Linked DNA regions of Coturnix japonica. The protein of the gene in region 1 purifies or fractionates together with the protein of each later gene. This does not show direct contact. Links are inferred from orthologs where the notes say so. Each region holds a gene or a part of one and is shown on either strand. Other genes may lie near its edges. The genes, in order: ATP11C and TMEM30A.

Region 1 (10,081 bases):
GCCGTTACTGCAGCTTTTCTGCAGCTGCTCTTGTGCTGCTGTTTCTATTAATACACTTGATGTCTCCTGTGACTTTCTAAAGACTTGACTTTTTTTTAGAGGAACTATAGTTTTTCTTTTTTGAAATAAATAAAAAGTGGTTCTGTTGAGGCAGGCGGGGAATAAACTCTTATACTTCTAAGGCCAACCAGATAGAAAAGAACAGAAGCAAACACAAATGGCACGGCCAGCATCTGCAAGCACCTGAGCCCACCTGTCAGAGGTCTGTCCTTCTGACACTCATCTGGACTAAGTGATGACACTCATCATCTGGCTTATTTAAAGGCTGTTACAAAAGAACAGGCCATTCTTCTTTTTGAAGGACATTTTCAGTATAGGGAAATGCAGCAGATGAGAGAAGATCAGGAAGTCTTTGAAAACTTTCCAGAGTAGAAGTAGCAAAATTAGGTGCTGGCAAACCAGCTACAACACCCCCACTACTCTGGGAAGGTCTCCATCCATGCTTAAGCAACAAAAACAGGTCATGGATGGGAAAGTTATTTGTTTTTACTTGCAAGTCTCAAAAACGCAGCACTGAGCAAGGAGGTCAATTCCTACTGTCATCCAAGGAAAGATGAGGAAGGGGTGGGATGACCAAAAGTCAAGCTTTTGCTAGGAAGCCTCGCTGTGTGACTGGCTTTTTATCCTGTCTTTTTAGATACGTTACTGGAAGTTACCTGCTGTGAGAATCCACAGAAGAACTGGTATAAAAATTGTGGTAAAATGAAGCAAAGGTTCTAGAGAAACGAAAAAAGAAAGGTTAGCAGGGAAGTGTTCATGAGTTTAGTGAATGCTTGACTTCCCATCTAAATCCAGTATTTTTTTCTATTCTCAGATAGCATTATCTGATATTGTACTATCAGGTAAAGCAGGACACTGTTTTCTACCAAGCACTACACTAATTCAATAAGCTTGTAGCATCAGCAGATGGCAAAGGAAGAAAGCCATGCTCTCACATTCCCCCATATATTGGTATATAAAGGGCTTTCAATTAACAGGCACATGGGAGACACACACTCACCCCAGATGGAAAAAAAACAGAGTATCCCATACATCATCTGTTTTACACTACTTCTGTTGTCAGAAAAACCCACAGTGAAAACAAAAATAATGAGCTGATTCTTACCTTATAGAAGAAATACTGTACAAGGTGTGCTATTCTCACATAATATAAATGCCCGTGTGCTAGTAGCAGTTTTCTTAAGTGTTTAAACTTTGGAACAGCATAGTCACTGTTTCTTGCAGCCTGACGTCCTTCTTTGCCTTTTATACCTGGAGACAAAAGCAAGGCAAGGACTGGAATTTATCCTGATGCTACTTGTGAAATTTGGTCACATAATTCAATGCCTCAGGCCATGACAAAGGCTGTGTTTCCTTGGTGGTTCTTTAAGACTTTTACACTTTAAATGCCTCCATGTCACCCTGTGTACCCAGCCGCTGGGACTGACCCTTTAGGGACAGGGGCAGCAGGTAGAGGAGAGCCAAACACTAAAGCTCTGCAGTACTTGGTATGACCTTGGCTCTGTGACAATCCTCTGGAGTTTTTAATCTGAACTTAGGTTGCTAACTGAGTTCTTATTGTAGGAGCACGTGATGACGAGCATCTCAGATAAACCCAATAAAAGATAAGGTTTCCCCCAGGCCTACCCGCATCTAGCAGTGTGGTTATTACACTGCAGAAGCTCAGCCTCCCAAGAGATCCCCTCAGAGCAAAGCTCAAGAAAGCCAGTTTTGTTCACTCAAAAACCACATCCAAATTAACTACAGTGAAGGATTCTATTCATTAGAGGCTAACATGCCATTCCCAACAGTCAGAAATAAAGAGGGTGGTTAGAAAACAAAGGACATCCCTCTTCAGTGGTATTTAAAAACTGCCAGTACTTTCACAGTCTCTGACAACAATCTGCAGAAATTTAGATATGAAATTCAGCTGTTTTCCAGCCTGATATCAGGAATATGGACAGGGCAGGCACAGCACAGCCCAGCATCAGCCCTTGGAAAATGCACACATTGCAGCTGCAATCAGAGCTGCCAAGCTCCAGCACACACCTGGGTAGAGGACAAATGCCAGCTACAGCTCAGCTGAGTTGAATGGGTACGATCCCACCGAAGCTCTCAGCACTGGCTTTAATGGTGAAATAAAGGTCAGAGGAAGTTACCTTGTTTCATTTAAAATAGAATCAACCTTTGTTTGCATAGAGGACAGCAGAAAACCCCATTATTTCACCAGTGGGAACTAAAGCATAAGAAGCAATCTGCAGTTCACCACGTGGTAAAGACAAAGAGAACGTGCCTATCAAAGGGCAGCAGCCTACCATGATCCCTAGCACCGATCCAGACCAAAAGCCCTCTGAAAGCAGCAGGTAAGTTCCCCATCTGTCAATTGGGATTAGTTCAGCCATGTGTGATCAGTTACAACAGCAAACATAAGCAACACAGACTGATAGCAGCCCTAGGTATCAGATAGGTGTATCAGGGGGTCTTACCTATTCCAACATGTGCTTCCAAAATCATACTGACATCATTCGCACCGTCCCCTATTGACAGCGTTATTGGGCTCCCTTTTGTGTTCTTCACCATTCGCACAATCTAAAGATTTAAAACAGGATAGCAGCACAACCCAAAAAGTTCAGTAGGAAAACAAACAAACAAATAACCCCACACTGAAAAATACCCCACCTCCAGAGACCCCTGCAACTCCCCAGACACTCCTGAACAAATAACCTTGCTCTGTGGCAGCCAAATAAAGAGTTCAGATTAATCAACACCCTCACTATTTCCTCTGCAGCCATCAATCAAAGGAAAAGCCAAGACCCAGCTTCACAAGGCTGAAGGACAGCATGCAGAAACAAATCACTCCCAGCAGCAGCCTCCCCTTCCCCCTTGCCAGACCCTGCTCTCTCACAGAGATGTGGCCTCTCATGCATTTCACATGGAAGACAGTCATACCCTGCAGCAGGGCTAAAAATGCACTGTTTATAATCCTTTATCATCAGCTGGTGTGAGGAAGTCATGGACTACAGATTTGGAAAGGAAAAAAAAAGAACAAATGGGTTTTGTTTATTCCTAATTGGCTTGGGCTTGTGGCTTCCTGCAAGCGTATTTAAGAAAGGTTTTATATTCATAATTGAAAGACTGGTGTGTTTCCATAACGCTCTGAAGTTCAGACAAGGCTAATACATAGCCTGGGGAAGTCCTGGCTGATCAAGATGAGTAAGCTTTATTTAAAGCAGCACTGCAGGAAACGCAGCCTCACACCGTTATACAGAAATAATCAGTGGTTACATCTACCACGTCTTTAATGAAAGGAATACTTGACTACAACTTGTTGAAGGTTTTGTGCTACCCTAAAAGTCGCCCTGCTTCATCTTCCTGGTAAATCTGCAAGTCAGACTGTTCTAGCAACACCGCTGCCTTTTGGATTTGTGAATTCCTGTGCCAGGTGCACTGCTTCCTGCTCCCTGGGGAATAACAAACTGCTTTGCAACACCCCTTCAGGAGCCTTTCTCTCAACTTGGACATCTACTGCCCAGTGATGGCAGCTGACCCTCCAAAAAAAACCAAGAAACCAGGTCTGATGTGGTTTACAAAGTTGTCTCACTGCAGGTTTTGAAGCCCACTTGCAGATCAATTTCATCCAATGGAGTAAAGGTGTGTTGTATCACTTAACGACATGCTTCAGTTAGTGGGAAAAGAAACCAAAAAGGAATTCACCTGTGCTTTCTGCAGAGGAGCCATCCGACAGCACAGAACTGCTGTACACTTCAGGCAGATTTGTAGAAATATGTTTTTGTAATGACTAGAACTGGAATCCTGAGAAGGATTGAGTATCAGCGACAGTGTTGAACCATCTATGATCAGGCCGTATTCTTGACTCAGCGTCCAGCTTCTAGGACACAACAAGGAACAGATTTGGAATAAAGAAAATCATTCTAACAAGTCAATCCAGCTGCTTTTATCATCTCAGTGGAAAAGGAACTACTTGTGTAGTAATCTTTCTCTCATCCTTTCTGGGGGACTTAGACATCATAAAATAACCTAGATTTAGCACACATCCTTCGCTAAGGGAGCTGCATAATTAAGTTCAAAGCCAGCTAAAGCAAAGGAGACTGCAAGCAGCGTGTCTCCCAACAGACACAGGCTCAGATCTCACCACTCACCTCTTCAGGCTACCCCGGGGTTTGGGAACATCCTGGATCAGCCTTTTGTGGTAGTCCATCAGCAGCTCGTGCAGCCGGTCCTCCTTCCTCTCGCTCTCACCTACCACCCTGGCCGTCAGCTCCAGCAGCTCAGTGCTAGTCTGGAAGAGCCTGCAGGCGTAGCAGGTGGACTTGGCTGTCTCCATCTTGTCCCCTGTCAGTACCCACACCTTCATGCCGGCAGCATGCAGAGCTTCGATCGTCTCTGCTGACTGTTCCTGCAGCCTGAGTGCAGAGAGAAAAAAAACCTCACTGCTCAGGCTGGCATTGGATGCAAGGCAGACTCTGAGCAGCCACTACCACACCGCTGGACAGAAGCAGGATGACCCCAGAGCAGCTCTACACTACGTGCACAACTCAAGAGAGTTGTGATAAACGAGACCTTCAGAGAAGGCTGTAAAGCCCTTCCCTGCAGGCCCCAGGCAGGAACCTCAGAAACATGTTTCTGAGATACAGCACTCGATGGGTGTAAAGAGGCTTAGCCAACACCGCCTCTTAATCCACAAAGCCCCCTGGGGAATCCTTATTTTGCAGGTAGGGAATGTAAGCTAGGGAGAAGTTAATTGATTGTCCCCACACTGAAGAGATACTGCCACAGGAATAAGGATTAGAGCTCAGCAATCCCAAGTTTTTTACATGCAGACAGAAATCACCGCATTATACTACAAGACCCAAGAGTCAAGAATATGAGGTTAATTTACACATGCACTTACTGTAACTGCAAACAAAACTGCATTTGTTTTGATGTGTAAATTGAGGCTGCATGCATTCATTCACTTTGTAGAAGTGTGAGTACTTCTGTGGTTTCGCTAATAAATCCTAACCCCTGCAGTAGCTGATTTTAGCAGCTAGGCAGTATGTAACGGGTTGTACCACTGAGTAATTGCCACTGCATGCTCCCAACCTCTGCCCTGCTGCTCAGCTCTCATGGGGATGCTCCAAGTTTTCTCCCACTGCTCCCAGGGGAATGCCAACCCAGGCTGCAAAGGAATCTCACCACAGCTCACGCAAGAAAGCAAGGGCCCACCACAACACAAAGTTGTGAAGAAAACATGGGTACCAACACGCTTGGTCTGTGTGCTGGTGCCTGTTTACCTGTCCTCTACAGCAGTCGCCCCAATCAAGTGCATGTCTGCTTCTGTGTCTTCAAAGACCTTTGCCATCTTTTCTTCCCTGTCCTGCAGAGCCATCTTTGCTTCATTAAGCTGCCGGTCAATCCTGTCATATTCCTTTTGAGTTAGTTCCTTGAATGCCACACAAAGCGTTCGGTAGCCATCCTTGTAGGGGTGGAAAAAGAAGCAGACAACTGCCCTTAAACCCTGTTTTGTGCAGCTCCCCACCTTAGGGCCAGCACTTCTGTCAGCACTTTGTCAGTACTGAACCTGACTATAAAGACGGATGGCTTAAGTCAGAAGACAGCAGCTGTGTTCACATAGTAACTTCTTCACATCAGAGCATACACGCATGCACGTAGCACAGCAGACATAAGACAAGGGCAAGGCCAGAGCAGAGATCTTGCACATAGCTGGGACAACTGAATGCCCCTGCACCTAGAGCCAAGAAATGGCCACCCTCCCACACCACCACCACTGCCAGATCAGCCTCCCAGCACAGGCTTCACTTCCACCTTCACACGCACATCACAACCGACACAATGATTCCTCCCACCAGAGCAAACAGTGTGCTATTGTTAGTGCTATTTTTAACTTGCTCGGGAGATGCGGGGACACAACAGCGATCAAACCCATATAAGTATATCAAAAGTCAAATAAACATGGAAGTCAAAGAAACAAAAAAGGAAAGAAACCAGGCTTCAAAACAATACGGAGTGACACTCAGATCTTCAGTACTTCCCTCCAAAGCGAGGTCACATCCCTATTTTTGGCATACAACTTTCCTGACCCCAGAGCCAGCCATTTCCCCACTGCATGCTCACCATAGCATTGCGGTCCACGTGGACTTTAGTTTGTTGGATTTCCTCTTGCTGCACTCTTGGAAAAATAGAGGAGTCTGCTCCTTTACAGAAGAGAAGCAGCTTTCCTAAAAGCAAAGTTATAAGTAGTTTATAGCATTCAAAAGCCATAGAAAGGCTTAAAGGACATTGGCTTCAATACCAGCAAGAGATACAGAAGAAAAAGTATAGTAGAACTAAAGGAGGAACTGCTAGAAGGCTCCCAAAAGTGGTCTGACACCTGGCACAAAACATTCTTTGATATTGGGCTGAACTATTGAGTGTAGCTGTACCTGTGGTGGTTCTCACAATGACACTCATACGACGACGGACAGGGTCAAAGTTCAGCGTATGGAGAAGCTGGTACCTTTAAAAAAGGAAGAAAAGAATTTGACCTTAGGCTCAGCACAAGGAAAACAGCTCTTGAGGACAGCTGCACACTGACTATCCAGAGAAGTGAAACTTGCTTGGGGGACAAACAGTATGGGAGCACTGGGGTTAGGCAATTCACTCCCAGTTTCTTGCACGCATGTGGATGTCACAAGAGCTGTGAGCACAGGGTAAAACCAAATAATTTTCCATCTGGGAGCCATACTGCACCGCTTAGGCTGTGCCCCGCTTGAAGGCACAGCTGCTACCCATAAGGTTCTGGGGAAGGAAGGAGACTGCAAGGGACAGCACACACTCAAGGGATCTAGAGGCTTCCTAAGGACTGACAGCAAGCCTTTGCAAGCAAACCCTTCACCCTGCTCACTGCACAAAGGAGCAGGGGCTGGGCAGGTCGGTAACTGGTCTGACAGCCTTTGCTGAGCAGTTCTGACCTTGCCTGGTTTAACACGCTGACTGAGCTTAATTAACCCACGTGAGAAACAAAGCTGAACAGAGTCCATTCAACCCCTGGCAGCAATATTCCTGGCAGGCCCTGTGGCACTTACATTTCAGTTTCATTCTTTTGGTTTCGGATTTTCATGAAATCATTTTCAAGTCCTAGAAAAGTGAAACCATACCTGTCAATAAACAAGAGGACAGAACAATATTGAGAGCACCCATTGGCGTGTGTTACACATTAACAGACTTCTCATTTCATGATCTGTATTGCTGAGGAGAGGTAAGAAGTTACCAAGCCCAAGCTAGAAGGTTTGGGCAGCTGCTTGCAGAGCCAAATTTAACATGTTGGCACCACCCTCATAACCTGGGAAGTTGGACATTACAATTGCTAAGGTGCCATGAGGCTCTATACGTGGTCCTCCAGGAGCTTTACATGAAACAAAACACAACACCGTCAGATTCTTACTTCTCAGCGCCTTTCACCAAAGCAATTTCATCTGGGGAAGAAGAGATGTAGGTGTTCTTGCACTCAGGGTGTCCTATCAGCCCATCCACCTGGTCTGCTTGTTTGATCCGAACTGTGTGGCACAGGCACAGGGCTCGCAGGAACAGCTCCTCTCGGCTCTAGGGATGGAGAAAGGGCCCACGATTAGCTCTGTGCCATGCATCCCATCCCCCTCAGAGCAGCTGGTTACCACTGCTGTGTGTATGTATTTCAAAACAAAAAAACCCCACCAACCACCCCCACGACTTCAGCAGTAATAGACCATGCACTGACCCCTAGCTTGGAGCCACCAACAAAACACTTTAAAGATGCAGATTTCTCACCTTTTCTGCTTTGCCGTAATATTTTAGGGGTCCATCAGTCTGCGAGAAGCCATCAACCTCTGAAATGCAGTCCTTGTACTTGTGCCCATCTATGCAGCACTCGATGAACTCCATGCTGTTCTCCGTCAGCGTCCCTGTTTTGTCAGTGAAGACAAACTCCACCTAGAAGAGATCAGACACCCACCTCACTGCACTGCTGCAGCCGTCATTGCAGCAGGGCCATACGTGGAAGCAGCCCTCCACAAACTGAAAGGTTGGGTCAGTTTGATACATCTGTGCCAACCCTTTGCTGCTTTCTTAACCTGGTCCCCAGAAACATGCAGGTGCTTTGTGTGGACAACACTGGGCTATTCTACTACCTCCTTCATTCTTCAATCCATTGCACAGCTGACAGGAGTCAGCACCCAAAGGCTTCTAAAACTTGCTTCAAGACCTTTTGTTCTCCCTCATCCTACTTCTTGGCTTCTTTGCTCTGGCTCCCAGTGCTCATACAGCTGCTGCTGCAGATCTGTTGCCTCCTCTGTGGGACTTCCTCCTTGGTGCCATATTATATACACACGTAATTGCTACTCCAAACTGATAGTATTTTTAAAAGCAAAATAAGAAGCAGGAGGCACCATACGTATCCCACACTCAGAAAAAGAAGCTACAACTGCTCCAGCAAAGCCAGCAGCAGGATGGCTGCACGTGCAGTGTGTGCCCAGGGAGATAACTGGGCAGGTGTGTTTGCTAATCCTTGAAGAGACATAGAATTTCTGACTTTTAATTGAAGCAGTGAAAGCAAACCATCCTGACACACTAAGTGCTACGCCTGATATTCCCCAGTATGGAAACAATTGGCGTGACCCAGTTCCTCCTCCTTCATACACTATTTATAACCTTACCAACTTCGTGCCGCTAGCGGAATCGCGTTAAATGGAAAGTGCCACCAGTCTGGCTGAAGCCCTGTACTGCTGGGACTGCAAGGGACTGCCACAACATGGTCTCTTATCAGGGAGAACATTACTCCAGCAGCAGTGGCCCATGAGTTGGTCTTCACAGCTATCAAGAAACATACAGGTGCACATAAACCACCACCAGAAGCACCAACCACCACAGCAGGAGGGGGCAGTACACGGTGTGGCATGCTGGTGGCTACAGCAGCATCTTCTGGCTTTCTTTCTGTGCTGCTGTTCCCCTGCCAACACAGGGACGTCTCTCAAAGCAGATGCAAACAGAGCCTGTTCTGACCTGTCCGAGCTCCTCATTCAGGTCTGAGGTGTTCACCAACGCTCCCTCTTTTATTTCTTCATCGTACATCTCTTTGTCCCAAGAGATGAAGAAGGAGCCCAAGAACTTCTGCATCTCTACTGTAACATACATGGAGACCGGGATAATAAAATTGAAGAGGACCATGAAGGACAAAAAGTCCGTGAACATCCGCAACACCTGCAATGGAAAGACAAGAAGAAGATGCAGTCTGTGCTTGTCAGGTATAACACAGGGAGACAGCATTTCTTTAAATGTTAAATAGAAAAAAAGCCCTCTGAAAATAACTGAACACATTTAAGACAAAGGACCAAATTGTACTTTCCTTTGATATAGGAAATCTCTTTGCCATTTGCAGATATATGGGAGTATGACAGAAGAGCACACAGCGCTGTTTCCAAGTGACTAAATCTACGTTTTATTCAGGTACACATATTGATGATTCTCATCTGATTCTCATCTCAGGTATCGGCAGCAAGTAGTTTGAGAACAGTCAAGCACTGATTCTGTGACATCCCTGAAGTCCTAGTCAACAATCAACTACATCAGCTGATTCCCACCCACTCACATTCACTCCTTCAGGCTTGGCTGCATGCGTCTCTGCAAGTCTAAGAACCTGGCTGACACGGCCTCAATTTAAGTTTATCTACTCAAAGCTGAAAGATAGCTCAAGTTCAGATAAGGATCCAGGTTAAATCAGCTGCTGCATTTATGTAATATCTCTGCATGGTGGAAACGATGTTATCCTCCTGCTGTCAGTAGCCTGGCGTGCATTATGCCTGCCCCAAGGGTGATGGGGACAGCAGCGTGCGAGCAGGGTTAGAGCAAGCCTTGCTAAGAGCATCACTGCACACAAGCACGAGAGGCAGGTAGTAATCAAGACAGGAGGCAAACACAAACAGGAGAGACTGCAGCAAGTGACAGTGCTTCCAAAGAGCAAGCAGGCATCACAGGACTGGCAACAGACATGATCAGATTAAATAAAACT
Region 2 (10,677 bases), on another chromosome or scaffold:
TCATAATTAAAGCAAAACCAGGCTGCTGACACTGTGGTTTCAGTACCAATGTGACCTTCAGAGGCAAAGGCTACAAAGAATTCTTCACATTCAAGTTTTAAGGCGATAACTCTTCCCTCTGACTCAGCTAATCACAACCAACAGCTCTCCAAATAGCCCAAAGCAATTTAAAAGTACCCAAGGGGCCCTCTGCTTTGCTACAGCTGTGCAGATTTTAACAAGGCTGGAAGGAAGATGGACACACACAAAGGATTTTGTTTTAAAAGCTCCTGCGTAAGACAGAGACACATCCTAGTTTCCCACATTAATTTCTCCAGGAAAGATTCATTCACAAGTAGGATGTCCTAACACCGCCTGCTTCCAGGAAGCCTATAATCTCATGCTTTGGGCACTGCCTCAACAGGGTGGGATTTGGAAAGTGCCTGGCTGGCACTTGGAAACGAGAGGCATTGCTTTCCAGATCTGAACACTAGCAGTTGTGTGGAACGGATGTCACTGAAGGACCAGGGCACAGGTGGTCAGCTCCAACACACGGCACACAGCACTGGGACAGCAACACCGCCCTGACAAGTGTCAGACAGGGACACTGTGGCTTTGTCTTTGAACACATGACACATTGGCAGCTTCCAGGAAACGCAAAGTCTAAGAATCCCAGTAGTTACCTACGTGCTACCAAGGCAAACGAAGAAGAGTAAAGTAAGAGATTACAAGTTAGACCTAATATTTTGACTTCCTTGGGCATAATGTTCATATTCATAGTATCATAGTATCATAGTCTTGTGCGGGTTGGAAGGGACCTTAGAGATTATTGAGTCCAACCCCTGGGATTCGAGCCTCCTGTGTAGCAGAGCGGCGCTTCTACCACTTGTGCCACAGGGGGGATTCGAACTCGGGCCTCCAGTGTTGCAACGCAGCATTCCTACCACTGCGCCACTGCATACTGACAAGTATTTTGTGCTACAGGCTTTCAGAAAAAAGGCTTTATTTGTAGCAAGAACAAACATTCAGCAATTCTTCTTGGTGCACTTCATTAAGAAGATCCAAACAGCAGTGACAGCTGTGCTCAACAGGAAAAGAAAAAAGCAATGAAAAACATTTCTAGGTAGAGATAGAGAAATATTCTTTTCCATTTTGAACGCAGCCCAAAAACCAGCATTCCCTGCTCAGAAAAGGGGTCATGAATAAAGCAAAACATTTACCTTTCAAGTGACAAATGGTTTAAAAATCAAAATATTTTAGTAAGCAGTAAATGGGAAACATCTTACTTGTCTACTTTGTTTTGGACTAAACTGTTCTCCAGAGGAATGCCAGCTTAACATCTTGTGCAACCTTCCAACCTTGCAATATACAGTTCTATATCTTTATCCTATATTTCCAGCAACAGATACAGCACTGCAAAAAAATCTAGAAGACCTGAATGTTTAAAAGCCCTGCGCTACCACAATGTACTGTGTAAGCAAATTATATGCTTATACAGAAAGCCAGCACCATGGAAACACTGCTTCATCCTGCAGTGTATGCAGACCTAAACACGTAAACCGCAAGCTGAAAAACATTACACAAGTAATTGACTAAATATAGTTTTGCATTTATGTGCTAGATTAATACAGTGTTGTATAAAGATGGCTGTAGATGTTACATTGATTTTTTGTAACTGAGAAATACAACTTGCTTAAAACGCATTCATTCTTCATGAGAATGGCTTTTCACCCAGATGAAAATAAATGCACGTTCAAGAAGAAAGTAAAATCTCTTAATAAATGGTTTGCAGAATTTATTAGGTATTTTTAATACACTCAGTACTTACGAAGCTAGTTGCATATAAAGTGATCTCCACCATATACATTACAATTTCTGTGCATCATCTAAAAAGAAATCAGATAGTATTTTATAGATTAACTAGCTTCAAATTAACCTAGAAGTGAACCCTTCTGCTGTTTATGACACTAAACCTCACTGCTTCTAACTGCAATATTTCAATTAGGTTTCACTGCAAACATAAGCTGCACTGGAATAACAAAGATCACTGTCATCTCAGCTTCTCAATTTCTACAGTTCAGTATCTCAACACTGCAAGAATTTATTGTGGCATCTACTCCATATAAGGAAACAGAACGTGAGATTTCCTTTACAACAAAGCCTGCTCAGCAGAATACATGTTTCAAGAAACTCTTAGTGAAAGGAATTCACTCAAGTCTGTGACTTGAACAGACATTTTAGATTCATCTTGCTTACTGCATGGAGGTACTCTTTAAAAAGCAAAACCAGCAAAGCACATCAGGAAAACTGGATATAACTTAAAGCAAAGAGAACAACAAAACAGCAGGTTCTACCTGCAACAAACATCTCCCAGTTTAGAACAAAATTTAAGAGGAACTCATAGAGATAATGAACAAATAGGTTTCCCGATGCCTTTATAGAATGCCATTTTACTGGCCAGGCACATCTGTTGCAACTATTAACAGGAATTCCATGTGTTGCAATTCGCACTGCACTTAAAGAATCTAACGTAACAAAGGTGGGTAGGACACAGGAAAGAACATTTAACTGCTAATATAAATATATTAAAATCTCATCCGGAAATGTAAGAGTCCATGCACACAAGACAATAAATTGAAAAAAACACTTAAGACTTGCCTTTTCCTTTCAAAAGCAATGACACTCAAATTCTGCTAAATGAACAATTTACATGGTATCTTACAACAGTCTTCTCCACAATCTGTATGTACTGAATCATACTGACGTTACACAGCACATGACAAGCAGCAGATGCATCAAGGGAACCGGAGCTACATGCATCAAATGGCCTGCCCAGCCAGAGGCAAAGATCAGAAAACTGTTTCTGACAAATGCAGAGATACAATCAATACAGCTAATTGTATACCCGTCATTCTGAGAGTTAATCCACAGCAAGGGGGAAAGGAGATCTTTAGATAAAATTATATACCCAGCCCCAGAAGTGACATTAGCAGAGATTTATCTTCCAACAGCTGGGTCCGTTCTGGACTGGCCTTGATGCACATGCAGCATAGTTGCTTTCAAAACGCGACTTTAATTGGGAATGTCTGCACTGGTGTTTCTATTTCCATATTTGTGATGGATGATCAGCAATACAACTCCTAAGAAGAAGCATATGGACCCAACAGTGATGTACGCAATGCCCAGGAAGGGGTTTTTGCCTCCCATCCATGAGATTGTGCTTAGGATCATTCTTTTTCGTCCATCAAAACTGTGCACGGGATAATCTGAGAGAAAACAAGGAATATAGGAAAACAAGAAACATGAAGTGCATTTCCAAACCTAACTTAATCAGGCACACTAACATGTTGGATTATCTGACTCAGGCTCCCGACACAAACATCTTTGAATATTCAAAGTAGCTTCAAAGTAGCTGTTCTTTTAAAAAAAGATTAACTTGGGCACAGTCAACTACTCCAAGAAAAATGCCACAGGGGTTATTCACTTTGTAAGTGGAAAGTAAATGCAGTTTCATGGGCCTTTGAAAGGAACTTCAATAAAATGAAGAAAATACACTGAGGAATTGAAATCTGTATTTTAGTTTTTCCTAGTGAATAAATAGATAAATAATAAATAGACTCTTTTTTACACGCACTCTCTGCTGTTTTGCAGGGAAGAAAAATACTGCAGTGAGTACTTTAATGATCTTCAGGAGCTTTCGAGTTTTAAGAATTCAGTAACTATGACAACCTGCCTCCTCTAGTCTCCTACATAACTACCTCATCTTTTGTGTGCCCAAAAAGGAATGACAGATGTGCACCTGATCCACAGCTCTGGCCTCTAAATTCTGAGCTCTTCACCTCTAAATTAACAGCTCAAGCAAAGCATCACCTGAACTATGCCTACACATCTTCCTGTTAGACTGCAGTCTGTCTGCTTCTGTATCTACCCAAAAAATTATCACATGAAAATGCTCCCATGCAAAGACTGCAGCCTCAATCCCTTGAAGCAGGCAGCAGGGACTGCAAGGAGCCACATATGTGAACAAGCTGTGTGAGACTAAGGGTGAATGAGGCTGACCATACCCCTCTAAGCACTCAAGCATACTGAGAAGACACTAGTGTCTAGACTAGTGTCCTTCATTTGCTTACTGGCAAATTTTGCACTGAAATCTTCCCTGATATTAATTTATAATCTCACAAAGGCCTCTTTAGAAGACTGGGGTGCTGTTGTTTTTTTTTTTGTCCCCCCATTTTGTGATCTCTGAAAACAGAAACAAAAAAAAAAATCCAAATAATATTTTCATCCTCATTAAATACATAATGCAGTTCTATGAGAGCTACACAATAGTTTAAGAAAATTATGATTAAAACTGTATTTACATTGAAGAATATGAGCCTAAGTGAAAAAACTTGCAATAAGGCTACAAATTTACAAGTCATTCCTGTATTAGATTGTATCTGAAGATCCAGCTGACTCCGCAGCATTGTGTTTTTCTCCCTCCACCCTCGTCATCAGGCAAGTGTGATGTGCTTTAAGTTAAAAATGAAACACAAGAGGTAAAATCCTACATTTCTAAAGAATAATATTCTCAAAAAGATACTTGATCTCCCTGGTGACAGGATGAGGGGAAATGGCCTCAAGTTGCACCAGATAAGTTTAGGCTGGATATCAGGGAAAACTTCTTTAATGAAAGGGCTGTTAAGCGCTGAAATAGGCTCCCCAGGGAGGTGGGTTGAGTCACCATCCCTGGATGTGTTTCAGAACCATTTGGATGTGGTGCTCAGAGTCATGACTTAGCAGAGGGCTGTTAGTTAGGGTAGCATGGTTAGGCTGCGGTTGGACTTGATGATCTTTAAGGTCCTTCCCAACCTGAGTGACTCTATGATTCTACGAAAGTCACCTTGGCAAAACCTTCACCATAAAGTCAACTTCTATAATATAGTAAATTCTTTGTGACTTTCTATATGGTATAGCCACAGACATACCACAAGTCTGAGTGATTGCATGAGACAGGAACATGGTTTTTGCAGACTGTCACATCCCTCCTATGCATCAAAGAAAGCTTTCTCTCTTTCCTAGAACAATGGATTTTGGTTTTTAATTAGAGCTACTTCTTACTTTAGCATAACTAGCTCAGACAACTCCATGCTTCAGGTGGCCATTCTGAAGTCAAGATGACCCAGTCATTTCCCTTTATGAAGCTACGGAACTGAATTTCATGATCTTAACAGAACAAACATAAGTTAGTTCTATAAACTATATGCAGAAGACAGCAATTATAAAGTCTCATTTGATTTAACCTTCCTTAAAAGTCCACCCATGTAACCCAGACAGTGTTCTAAGGAGTTTTTAAGGGCATTTTCAAAGGATACTGTACGTGATATCCAAAGAATATTTTCCAGCCTGTAAGGTAGGCTGTAAGTTACTCTTCCTCTCAATGAGACGATACAGCTTACGAAATGTTGGCAGAGCAGCAGTACGCATCCACACGATAAAGTCTTCATTGATAAAGCCATTGTTGTCAGGCTCAGAGTCCAGCATATACACTGGTTTGGGCCAGTTGACTGGTTTTGTTGTACCTAAGATTAAACAAAAACAACAATAAAGCATTTCAAACACAGGACTAAATGAAGCACTGGATCACCAAAATTCATTCTAGTATCATAAAAAACATGCAGTGAATCCTAAGCAGTACGAAGAGCCAGACTGGCTCATTGCTACTGCAAGATTACTGAACTGCTCAGGAACATTAGAGTATGGCATCTGCCTTTGCAAGGGTAACATCACTTTGGTAAGGTCACTTGGCTGTGACTAAGCAAGCAAGACATATCAGGCTAAACCTAGAGCTATTTTCTATCTTACATATACACACAGACCCAAAAGCCCAGAAGGAAAACTGCTTTTAGACTTTGTCAAAGAAACTCCGACTTACCAGGCTGTACTTAACTACATTTAACCTTATAACTGAGAAAAATCAGTTAATCTGATCACAAATAATCAGATTTTAAAAAGCACTGTAAGATCTACCAGTAGAAACATTAAAAAAGAAAATTTCACACAGTTTGGTTAAATAATCACAGGATTTCTTCTGAAGTTAAAACCACGTATTATAGCACTGCACTTAACGAGGATTTTCTCAGTATTCAAGGCATAAAAAGTTATCAAGAGCTATTATATATATACATATATATATATACACACACACACACACATATATATATATCAGAATTTGATTTGATATTTCAAGATCCCAAACGGCAACAAGTAATTGAAATATCACTTAAGCCAAGAATCTTTTCACCATCTTAACAAATTGGATTAGTTGCTAAGGCAAAACTAATCTGATGCCAAGCAACTGACAGAAAGAGCTTTCATGAAAGTTCAGAAAGATTAAACAGGAAATAAGCCCAGGTTCTATTTTTACATGTTAAATGACTACAGTGAATTTAGAAAAAATTATATTAGTTCTGCATTAAATTTGCAGCATCCACTGTTAACAGACAACTCTTCCAGAAAGCAGAGAAGTCCTTAGCTTGGACTTCTTCATAGAACAATATATTTAACATGTTCACTACAATGTCACCATTGAGGTGAAGTCCATGGCAATCAATGTGTTTGAAATCTTTTGTTCTTAAAATTTCACACATTTCTTACCTTGGAAGAGCGCAGTTAAATTCTTTCCATCTCCTGTAGGATTCCTGAACTTCACATTTTTATCTGTCCACCACGCAATGCCTTTTTTAATCAAAGTAATAGCGGTCCTTGTGTCGTTTTCGATGTGGTACAATTCCAATGTATCTATGGGGAAAATCAAATTGGAAGACCAGATAAGAGTGGCTTTTATTAGATGAATGATCCTGATAGGCAGTAAAATAATTATCTACAGGAAAAACAAATTGCCACAATCAAGAACTGTTCTGTAATAATCCACACACATACAGAGCAGTGCGTTATACATGTATAGCATCTTTATTCCACAGCCATAACAGCCACTCACAACAGATGTTTCAATCCCTTGTGTGCTATCAGGTTAAATTCACTGTGGTGGTTATTAATGGTATTTTAATCTCAACATTCCAAACAATTAAGGTGTGTTAATTCAAAACAAAACAATCCACAATAATACCCAGAATAAAGCATCAGTACAAAGCATACACAACACAAAAACACCTCAGTGCTAAACTCAGAAGTGTTACCGTACCATTAAACATACTGTTGGCAATAGCCCCACAGGGAGCAATGGGTTTATCCTCATTGGTGCGGTAAGGCTCACATTCCTTACTTGGATTCTGACAGTTAGAAAGAAAAAAAGGCAGATCAGTCTGTGCTAGTTTATACTTCAGTACTTCACACACGTACACAGCTCACACTTACTACAAAATATTCTCAGGAGTGAGTTTATTTACATATACTTCAGCATTCATTGCTAATCGATATGATTGATTTTTTTCTTTACAAGCAGGAAAATATTCTAGATAAAATATGAATAAAGTCAAAAATCCCATGATGGTCATTGTAAAATTAAGACTGTGCTTAGAAACTGTTAAAAGAGGGGAAAAAATGTTCTAACTGGAATGTTATTTATTTTTAATAAATAAAAGAATTAAGAATTTAATAAATAAAAGAACGTTTATTATTTTTAATAAAAAATATGAATACCTTATTGTTTGTTGAATACAAAAATTCTACAGCTACGTTATTATTAAACTAGTTATTCTGCCCTGTGATAACTTATGCAAGTCAGCTGTTCATTGCCTACTAGTATCTGTAAATATCAAAGCTCGAATACCTACAAGTAATGAGCTGTTGTCTCCGTTGAGTTGGCTGTCATCTCGAGATTTCACATAGCGACGGTGGTTTTGATAGAAGTTAGAAAGTCCGTAATACATGAAGACGTTACTCTACAAGAAGGGTTTTGATTTACACAACAGGTCAATAAAACACACAAACATGCTGGTTAACTGAAACCTGGAAATCCAACCTCTTAAATTGTATTTACTTTATAGTAACACTCACAGTAGTGATGCTCAAAGACTCTCTTTGTACTGAATACACACAATACTATCCCAACAAAAGCTGGCATCCTGAAGTCAAACAATATCAACATGCCATAAACCAGCAGCAGGATATTCATCAGTACTATCCCAATACTTACCTTGTCCAACACCAAGCACATAAGCCTCATTATTTGCCTCAAAGAATGCATCTAGTGCTGCTGCTTCCTGCTGAACTCAGTTTAAGTTGTGCAGGAATAGCTTATCTACATGTCAAGTATATGACGCCCACCTAGGACACAGACAGTAAATCCAGATGTGTAAAAGACACGTGTCCCACTTAACACTGCAATTCCAGATAGAGAGGCACTAAAAACCATCTCATCTCTGCTAATGAAAAGACACACAGCCATCAAATCCAAGTTCATAGGAATACTAGAAATAATCCTTCAAGGCAGACACAAAGTAAGGCTGTGAGAATGCAATTTTCCTATCACTTACAAAATAAACCACATCAGCAGATCTCATTTCACTTTGCATGCAAGGTTATGTACCTCAAATGAATGTTCCAGTGTGAAATTGATTGTGCAGGTACAAGGCGGTGTGCTATCCCAGGACACATTTAAACACTTGTTGCAAGGACTGGAAGGCTCTATTCCTGTATAATCAATCTATAACAGAAAAAAAAAAAAAAAAAAATCCACATTAGTTTAGAGTGAGAAAGCAAATAAAATTGATTAATAAGCAAGAGAAATCGGTGTGGCATTTATTTTGCAGTATTACTACATCTCAGTTCCAAAAGCTCTGTTTGATGATCTCATGATCCCTTCTAACCCAAACTATTTTGTGATTCTGACTGCATATTCTGTTCCAGCCTCAGACAAATCTGGCACCAGTGTGGGCCATTAATGCTGGGAAAGAAGAGAAAGAAACAAACAAAACAACCCACCAAAACACACTGAGCAGATACTCATGGCACCACCAAACACGCTCAGTATATAACAAGCAGATCTAACCTGCTACATGCTTTCCAGAGAAGTCTCATTTTTAAAAGCCTACAAAGATATTAAATAAGAAAAAAGTTTTGCTTAAGAAAACTTTTATTTACTGCCTATATTTAGGCACTCCATCAGATTTTTCAAAGACCGCTTAATGAATCACAGAATCACAGAATGAGCCGGGTTGGAAGGGACCTCAAGGATCATGTAGTTCCAACCCCCCTGCCTGGCAGGGCCACCAAACATACACATTTACTAGATCAGGTTGCCCAGGGCCCCGTCCAACCTGGCCTTGAACACCTCCAAGGACGGGGCATCCACAGCCTCCCTGGGCACTCAAGAGCTCTCCTAAAACAGGGAAGGTGAAGACACAAATGCCAAAAACAGTAAAATACCAGATGAAAAAGAAAATACGATCACTATTAACGTAGCTTATCAAGGATCTGTCTTTAATAGTTCAGCAACAAGAACAAAAAAATTTACCTGAAATCTGCACATTTGGGCCACCTTTATGTTACACAATGTATCCTGAGCACCTGGGGCTCTCATCCTATAGCCCTTGCCAACAGAAGTCACTTGATTGACTCTCTCCTGCGTAGCTGCAGGATACAAGCGGAAGGAAATAACTGCTTTGGGTTCGGCAGGTTAGCTCCGTGTGTAGGAGAAAGATTCCATCTGTTTATGAACTATTATTTCTGCACTTAAAAGGAGCTTCCTACTTAGTAACAGAACTCAGATCAGGGCAACACGCGACAAGTTACCAAAACAAAGTGCTCTGAGCTACAAATCCTGCTCAGCTTTATGAAAGACTGCTGCAATGGTATCTTCTGATTTACAGCTGTGGTCAAACACTATAAATCATTCTGATTCTCAGTAATCTGCCCAAAAATCCACATTAAGGGTAAATTAAACAAGCGGTTTCAAGGTTCAAGGAACAATTGAAGCCTATTTCCTTCTGGATCTTCTTCAAGGTCTCCCTCCCATAGATTCTTTGATATCTGTTAAGAGCTGCAGCTCTTTCTTCAGCAAAGGCATTTCAGAGATCTGTGATCTGCTGCCAGACTGCTGACAGATGAAACCTTCCTCTGACAAGCCCAGCTGAAATAAGTTGGATTCAAGAGCTGTTAGGTGAGGGAAAGCTTTGCCTCTCACTAAATGAGATACTGCATTTATGCTGAAGTAAATATTTGACTTTCAGTATTTGAAAGAAGCTTATAAGCAGGACGGCAAATGGCTGTTTATGAGGGTGGACAGTGATAGGACAAGGGAGAATTAGTTTAAAGTAAGACAGAGGAGGTTTAGGTTGGATATCAGGAGGAGGTTTTACAGAGGGTGGTGACACACTGGAACAGGTTGCCCAAGGAGGCTGTGGATGCCCCATTCCTGGAGGCATTCAAGGCCAGGCTGGATGTGGCTCTGGGCAGCCTGGTCTGATGGTTGGCAACCCTGCACATAGCAGGGGGTTGAAACTAGATGGTCATTGTGGTCTTTTTCAACCCAGGCCATTCTACGATTCTTTATTAAGTAGCTCTGCCTCAGCACTCCTTCAGGGCTTGGTCCAGCTGCAGCACAGGGACCAGCAAGATATAAAAATTTCACTTACATGAAGAACACATTACTTGTTATGTTCCATTGACAACTGAGTGAAAGTGATACAGGTATGTCTTCATCACTTGACAAATAATGAAACCACTGCTTCAAGAACACAAGAACTGATGCATGGA

What was found.
Region 2: the proteins of ATP11C (region 1) and TMEM30A purify together in Homo sapiens (co-immunoprecipitation; 4 studies listed by BioGRID and IntAct, with this or other methods). This does not show direct contact. The link is inferred for Coturnix japonica from reciprocal best matches to the Homo sapiens genes ATP11C and TMEM30A.

What each region holds. Positions count from the first base shown.
Region 1 is NC_029519.1:4,920,875-4,930,955, forward strand, and holds part of ATP11C (phospholipid-transporting ATPase IG), read right to left. Parts: intron 9,274-10,081; coding exon 9,076-9,273; intron 8,008-9,075; coding exon 7,846-8,007; intron 7,642-7,845; coding exon 7,484-7,641; intron 7,197-7,483; coding exon 7,125-7,196; intron 6,557-7,124; coding exon 6,483-6,556; intron 6,279-6,482; coding exon 6,175-6,278; intron 5,516-6,174; coding exon 5,334-5,515; intron 4,464-5,333; coding exon 4,200-4,463; intron 3,929-4,199; coding exon 3,754-3,928; intron 2,629-3,753; coding exon 2,526-2,628; intron 1,312-2,525; coding exon 1,166-1,311; intron 777-1,165; coding exon 717-776; intron 1-716. UniProt on the Homo sapiens protein: Catalytic component of a P4-ATPase flippase complex which catalyzes the hydrolysis of ATP coupled to the transport of aminophospholipids, phosphatidylserines (PS) and phosphatidylethanolamines (PE), from the outer to the inner leaflet of the plasma membrane.
Region 2 is NC_029518.1:73,684,473-73,695,149, reverse strand, and holds the end of TMEM30A (cell cycle control protein 50A), read right to left. Parts: intron 8,627-10,677; coding exon 8,510-8,626; intron 7,863-8,509; coding exon 7,755-7,862; intron 7,251-7,754; coding exon 7,163-7,250; intron 6,760-7,162; coding exon 6,616-6,759; intron 5,541-6,615; coding exon 5,334-5,540; intron 3,246-5,333; coding exon 3,052-3,245; 3' UTR 966-3,051; downstream 1-965. UniProt on the Homo sapiens protein: Accessory component of a P4-ATPase flippase complex which catalyzes the hydrolysis of ATP coupled to the transport of aminophospholipids from the outer to the inner leaflet of various membranes and ensures the maintenance of asymmetric distribution of phospholipids.